Linked DNA regions of Ovis aries. The protein of the gene in region 2 binds, or shares a complex with, the protein of the main gene of each other region. Links are inferred from orthologs where the notes say so. Each region holds a gene or a part of one and is shown on either strand. Other genes may lie near its edges. The genes, in order: AFTPH and SYNRG.

Region 1 (3,821 bases), on a different chromosome or scaffold from region 2:
TGACTGAACCCTTGAATTGAAAAATTCATCTTGTTGCAATGTGGGAAGGCCTTGCTTTCCCCTGCTGAAACCCCTGTCACTCGCTATGCTTATTTCTGAAACACAAACCTGATCCTTTCTAGCAGTGTCTCCTTTATCATCAAAGCTTCTATCCAAAGAAACTTCTTTTACAGAATTCAGTTCATTGACTCTATTAATTTTATTGTTTTCCTGAATGGTTAGTGCTTCATCATTTAAAACTGCACATCCTATTTCTTCTAGTTGTATCCTTTCTTTTCTGGAAAATGTGGCAAAATCTGCAAATTCCTCAGCGGGACTAGGTGCATAGTCTAAATTATACTCAGTACTATGAGTGCTAACAGGCTTTCGTCCTTTTGAATCAGCTACAGCGTCCAGATCATCTGTTCCCTGAGGATTTACAGTTTCCAACACTGCAAACCCATTTGTTAGAATCTCCAGACAAGGAGGCTTTTCACCATTGCAGCTCTCTAACTGCTTGTTCTGATGAACAACATTCAGATCAGTTCTAAAATCTCCTGGAGAGAAACTTTCAGGTGTTCCAACATTCTGTCTCTGCTCAACTTCTTTATTTAAATCTCGTGGACTTTCTATGCCATCAATGGAAGTATCTAAAGTTTTAGATGAAATTATTTCTTTGCTGGTGGTAGAAAGTAAAACATCAGACTGTCCTTTCACAGGAGAAGAAAGTTCAGCAGTGATGTCCTTATCGTTACTATTTTTAATGGACTTAAAGCTTGTAAGGCTATCTACATTTTCTGAGAAATCATGAATTGGCATAAAATGGTTTGAAGGTACAAACTCTTCCTTGGGACGAGTGTAATCTGGTGTATCAAAATCAACAAACCCTACACCAGAAGGGCTAACTTCAGAAAACCCACCAAATTCCCCAAATTCATCGTCATCATCATCCTCAGCTCCATTGTCTAGTGGTGGTGGGGATGAAGAGTACATTCGAATGATGTCTGGCTCCATCGTTCAATTGCTTTCAAATACTTAATTTACACCTGGGGAAAAAAAAAGATTTTTTTTTAGGGAACAGATTACATATAACAAAGTCATTCAGAATTCTCTCAAAGAAACTTCAAAACAGTGTAAATTTACAGTGCTCTGCTTTTTAAACTATTTTTCTGTAAAGCAATTATCCTTCAATTAAAAATTAAATAAAAAATTTTAAAAACCTAAAAAAACACAATTATTTTTATCTTAGGTAAGATTACACAGCTATAATATAATGGCAAAAGAAACCAAAACAAAACACCTTTTACAGTGTATGTTTCCAAGGGCATTGATAGCACATTACTGAATCTGAGGATTCCAGAAAATTTCAAATAAACACTTACAAAAGTACATCTTTTGTAACAAGCACTTGCTTGTTCTCTTAGACTCTCCTTCTAGTTCACTGGGGACTCAGGACTTGCCTTGTGGATTTGTAGGAGTTCTTTATAAATAAAATGAAAATGCTGTCTTTAATAATGGCTGCATATATTTTCTTCAATTTGCTTTTCAATGTTTCTTTCTGACTCAAGTTAACTTTTTCTGGTTTTATTTTTTCAGAGAAGCTTTAGGTTCACAATAGAATTGAGCAGAAGATATAGAAACTTCCCATACGGATACTACCTGCATTAATTTGCATAGTCTCCTCTGTTATGAACATCTACCGAAGTGCTGTGTTTGTTACTACTGATGAACCTACACTGACACATCATTACCCAAAGTCCATAGTTCTTATTAGGGTTCATTCTTGGTGCTAGCATTCTGAGTTTGGACAACTGCATAAAGACATGCACCCACCATTACAGTATGACACAGGGTAGTTTCACTGTCCCCCAAATCCTGCGTTCCACCTAACTCTATTCATCTGTCCCTCTCCCCTACCCTGGCAAGCACGGATTTTCTTACTGTCTCCATAGTTCTGCTTTTTCTAGAATGTTATGCAATTAGAATTACAGAGTATGCAGCCTGTATATACTGTATGATTGGCTTCTTCCACCTACTAATATGTATTGAAGGTTCTTCCTCCATGTCTTTTCATGGCTTGAAAACTTATTTTCTTAAACTACTGAATGGTATTCCATTACCTGAATATACCATAGTTTAATTTTTTGTAACTTTCCATTTTGAAATTGCTTAGGTTGACAAGAAGCTGTAAACACAGTACAGAGAGTTCTCCTGCATGCTCTCACCCAGTTTCCCTCAGTAAGAACACAGTGAACAAGAATGGCACACGACCAAACCCTGAAACAGACATCCATGTAACCTACTAAATCAGCTACACAGCTTGGTTAGATTTCATCACTTTTCCTTTCTTAGGGTGTCTGCACAGTTTTATGAAACCGATCATACGTGCAGATTAGATTTCATTGTCACTATAATTGGGGTTAGAACTGTTGCAAAAATAGTTCAATAATATCAGTATAAAGTCCTTTGTGCAATCCCTAAATAGTCATGCCCTTCCATAAACCCGAACTGTTGGAAACCACTAATCTATTCTCCATCATTATAATTTTGCTATGTCAAGAGTGTTATCTAAATGGAATTATGTAATATGTAACCCTGTGAAGCTGGCTTTTTCACTCAGCTTAATGCTCTCAAGATCCATCTATGTTATTGTATGTACTCACAGTTCATTCCTTTTTATTGCTAAGTAGTATTCCACTATTTAACTTCTATGCAGAGTACATCATGAGGAATGCTGGGCTGGAAGAAGCACAAGCTGGAATCAAGATTGCTGGGAGAAATATCAATAACCTCAGATATGCAGATGACACCACCCTTATGGCAGAAAGAGAAGAGGAACTCAAAAGCCTCTTGATGAAAGTGAAAGAAGAGAGTGAAAAGCTTGGCTTAAAGCTCAACATTCAGAAAACGAAGATCATGGCATCTGGTCCCATCACTTCATGGGAAATAGATGGGAAAACAGTGGAAACAGTGTCAGACTTTATTTTTTGGGGCTCCAAAATCACTGCAGATGGTGACTGCAGCCATGAAATTAAAAGACGCTTACTCCTTGAAAGGAAAGTTATGACCAAGCTAGATAGCATATTCAAAAGCAGAGACATTACTTTGCCAACAAAGGTCCGTCTAGTCAAGGCTATGGTTTTTCCAGTGGTCATGTATGGATGTGAGAGTTGGACTGTGAAGAAAGCTGAGCGACAAAGAAATGATGCTTTTGAACTGTGGTGTTGGAGAAGACTCTTGAGAGTCCCTTGGACTGCAAGGAGATCCAACCAGTCCACTCTGAAGGAGATGGGCCCTGGGATTTCTTTGGAAGGAATGATGCTAAAGCTGAAACTCTAGTACTCTGGCCACCTCATGTGAAGAGTTGACTCACTGGAAAAGACTGATGCTGGGAGGGATTGGGGGCAGGAGGAGAAGGGGATGACAGAGGATGAGATGGTTGGATGGCATCACTGACTCGATGGACATGAGTCTGAGTGAACTCCGGGAGTTGGTGATGGACAGGAAGGCCTGGCGTGCTGCAATTCATGGGGTCTCAGAGTTGGACGCAACTGAGCAACTGAACTGAACTGATTCCACTATATAGATGTCATCAAGTTTGTTTTTCTGTTTACTCCATGTAAGACATCTAGATTATTTTCAGTATGTTTACAACTACAAGTAAAGCTGCTATGAACATCTGTGTACAGACTGTTATGTGAACATGAGCTCTCACTTCTTTAAGATGAATACTCAGGAGTGCAAAGCCTGGGTCACATGCTAAGTGTGTAATTAATGTTATAAGCCAAACTGTCTTCCCAAGTTAATTTTTAAGGGGTCAAAGTGATTTTCCATTAGTAGTT
Region 2 (3,821 bases):
GGGACTTCCCTGGAAGCCCAGTGGTTAGGACTTCACCTTCCAGTGCAGGGGATATATATGGATTCAGTTGCTGGTCAAGGAGCTAAGATTCCACATGCCTCATGGCCAAAAAACCAAGACATTAAAAAACAGAAAGAAAAAATCAGAAGCAGTATTGTAGCTACTTTAAAAATTGGCCCACATTAAAGAAAAAAGTCTTTAAGGAAAAAAGAGAGAGGACAGATGTGCTGGATCCCCTCACGGTTAATGTTCGTCCCACGCTGCTGCCCCCTCCAGCCAACACTCTTAGCATCCTCCTCCCCGTCCTGTCAGACGTGCGCTCACTCGCACACACAGCTTCCTGACTGTGGAGCAGGAAGCTGTGGTTTGATCCTGGCTCTCGTGCTAGACACCTACATGGTGCGTACCTTTAAAGAAGCTTCCACTGTTTATGGAACAAATAAGGCAACGTTTGCGAAGGGAATCCACTAAAAACCATTTCCCTCCAATTCACAAGTCATGTGTTCAGAAGTTATAGTTATCAGGAGCTATCAATAAAAGTCATCATTAGTGGGTTCAGAAGATCAACTGCGCTTGGATTAGTGAGTTTCATAGACATGAAAGTAAGTCTTCAGGACTCTGAACTGAAGGAAGTCCCAGGTGGGATCCCCGGCTTGCCCGCCTGACCCAGCTCTTTCGGTGACTTTCAGGAGAATGAGCGGTATGCGTACGAGTGGCAGCGGTGTCTGGGGAGCGCTCTGGAGGTGAGTCTCTCACTCGGCTGCGTTCACACACCTGCCCATGCCTCTTGCGTCATCTCGCCTTCTTGATTGCTTTGGAGGGACTCGGGGCGAGCTCTGCCTCGATGGCCTTGCACTGGGAGGACCTGGGTGGAAAGTCTCACGTCTTCAGTGAGGCTTCTTCCCCACCGACTGCGGCAGACCCCGCTCACTTGGCTTAGAGTGCCCTCTCCTGTCACTGAGTTTAATGCGTAACAAAATGGTATCGTTATCTCTGCCCAAGTTAAAATAATATTTAAGCTGGAGAACCTTTGTCTTTCCACTTCCAAAAAAGCGGAGGCTTGGTTCATCAATGTCAAAATTCTCAGATTTATTTCAACACAGTCATCTACATACATCAATCAGTCATGCATTTTCACACCTTCCAGCTTTCCGTTGGGTTTTCTACTAATAGTAAACTGCTTTGTAATGACTTTTCCTGATTATGTAAGGTGATGTGATTTCATTTCTTTATAGGTCATTAAGAAGGCCAATGATACCTTAAATGGAATCAGTAGTAGCTCTGTATGCACAGAAGTGATTCAGTCAGTTCAAGGGATGGAATACTTATTAGGTATGTGCTTTCATATTATACTTCTTCAAAATCATGACGCTTTGGAGGCTGTTCAGTTGTCCCTATGTCAAGTAGTTTAATCTAGATCTCTCTAAGCCTCATAGGACTTTACTAAGTAGCTTCTGCTTTTATAGATAAGACACTTAAATCCTACCCAGAAACAACTATTTGACTTAAGGTCTCTGTGGCCAGGTTTCTCAGTCCTTGTTATACACAATGTAAAATCACATGTTACTGGTTTATCAAAGACTCTGAACTAGATGAGGCATTAACATTAAATCATTGGTTTAAAAAAGAAAATTAAGTTATTGGGTCCCCAGTCGGTTCTTACCATGCTCTGTTGAATTCTGCCTTTCTACTCCTTACCAACCTCCCAGATTCCTTAACTTCCTGGCCACCTTCAGCTCTCACACATCCCAGTCTAACGTGAAATCTCAGTCCCTGTCCTTCTCTGTGGTCCTGTCCTGCTCAGGGTTTGCCTGTAGCCAGAACCACAGGCACTGGTCTCGCCCTAATCTTCTTCAGACCTTTACTCAGATGTCACCTTCTAAGTGAAGTCTTTTCGCCCCTCTCACTCAAAGCCGTGTTCCCTCTCCCCACCCTGTCACTTGCTGTCCGTCTCCCTGCTTGATTTTCTCCCTAGCCCTAGCCCTCGTAAATATTTTACTTTCTGTTATTTGTGTCTATTATCTGTCTGTCTCCACTGAAATCCGCCTCCAAGAAGGGAGAGATTTGGGTGTGATGTGCTTGCGGCTGGGTTTCCAGCGCCTCGCCTAGCGCTGGGCGCACAGTGGTCACTTGCGTGTACTCTCTGGGTGAGAGGCGCTGAGCGCTGTGAGCTCTCCTTGTTCCTGCCTCCTGCTCTTGTTCCTCTTTCCTGCTCAGACAGGCATAATTCTGCCTCATAAACAAATGCTCACCAGCTCATGGGGTGCCTATCTTTCCCTCTAGTAGCTTCCTAGTATGAAAGATTGACTCAGAAGCCCCCTCACTTGGCTCAGAGTGGGCAGCAATTCCTAATCTTCCCCTGGGGAAGGAAGGACAAGCCGCGGTGCTGTATGTAGGCTGAGCGTGTACCACTGAAGACCCCGTGGCATTCTTCCAGGAATGGAACAAGCTGGGGGAGGGGTTGGGTTATGCCTGGCAGCTATCCTTAGTCTTTGGAGACCTTGGCATCTCTCATCCTTGCTGGAAGAATTCAGCCGTAATTCAGAGACCACAGGGAAAGAACCATTCTGTGTCCTGTTAAGTGTATAAAAGACAACATGAAGCCACAGACTTTGTAAATCTTGGGCATTCAGAGGAGTGAAATATTTCTTAATTATAGGCAGATCTGGGAGATACTGGGGCTTCCCTGATAGCTGAGTTAGTAAAGAATTGGCCTGCAATGCAGGAGACTCCAGTTTGATTCCTGGGTGAGGAAGATCTCCTGGAGAAGGGGCAGGTTACCCACTCCCGGAATCTTGGGCTTCCCTTGTGGCTCAGCTGGTAAAAAAATCCACCTGTAACGTGGGAGACCTGGGTTTGATCCTTAGGTTGGGAAGATTCCCCTGGAGAAGGGAATGGCTACCCACTCCAGTATTCTGGCCTGGAGAATTCCACAGATTGTAAAGTCCATGGGGTTACAAAGAACTGGACACAACTGAGCGACTTTCACTTCACTGGGAGACATTGAAGTTTTGATTCCAGACCACTGCAGTAAAGCTTATAGCTCAATGAAGCGAGTTGCATGAATATTTTGGTTTCCCAGTTCATAGGAAAGTTATGTTTACCTTATTACTGTAGTCCATTAAGTGTGCAAAATGTCTGAGAAAAACTTAAATTAAAAATATTGATTAAAAAAGGCTAGCCATCATCTATCTGAGTCTTTAGCAAGTCATAATCTTGCTACTGGTGGAGGCTCTTGCCTTGATGTTGATGGCTGCTGGCAGATCAGGGTGGTAGTTGCTGAAGGTTGGAGTGGCTGTGGCCATTTCTTAAAATAAGACAATGAAGTTTGTTTTACCGATGGACTCTTTATCGATGAACAATTTCTCTATATAGTATGCAATGCTGTTTGATAGCATTTTACCCACAGGAGAACTTTTTTTAAGAATTGGTGTCAATCTTCTTGAAATCTGCGCTGCTTTATCAGCTAAGTTTATGTAATATTCTAAGTTCTTTGCTGTCATTTTAACAGTCATCACCAGGAGTGGATTCCACCCCAAGAAACCAGTTTCTTTGCTCATTGTTAAAGATTTATCATGAGATTGTAGCAAATTAGTCACATCTTAAGGGTCTACTTCCACTTCTAATTCCCTTGCTATTCCCATCGTGTCTATGGTTACTTCCTCCACTGAAGTCTTGAACCCCTCAAAGTCAACCATGAGGGTTGGAATCAACTTCTTCCAAATTCCTCTTGTTGATATTGTGACCTCTTCCTATGAATCCTAGATGTTCTTAATGACATCTAGAATGGTGAATCCTTTCCAGGAGGTTTGCAATTTACT

The links.
Region 1: SYNRG (region 2) and AFTPH share a complex: the UniProt entries of both Homo sapiens proteins name them as parts of the aftiphilin/p200/gamma-synergin complex. The link is inferred for Ovis aries from reciprocal best matches to the Homo sapiens genes SYNRG and AFTPH.

The regions. Positions count from the first base shown.
Region 1 is NC_056056.1:43,761,481-43,765,301, forward strand, and holds part of AFTPH (aftiphilin), read right to left. Parts: intron 1,026-3,821; 5' UTR 994-1,025; coding exon 1-993. UniProt on the Homo sapiens protein: Component of clathrin-coated vesicles.
Region 2 is NC_056064.1:13,531,792-13,535,612, reverse strand, and holds part of SYNRG (synergin gamma), read left to right. Parts: intron 1-689; coding exon 690-743; intron 744-1,235; coding exon 1,236-1,332; intron 1,333-3,821. UniProt on the Homo sapiens protein: Plays a role in endocytosis and/or membrane trafficking at the trans-Golgi network (TGN). May act by linking the adapter protein complex AP-1 to other proteins. Component of clathrin-coated vesicles.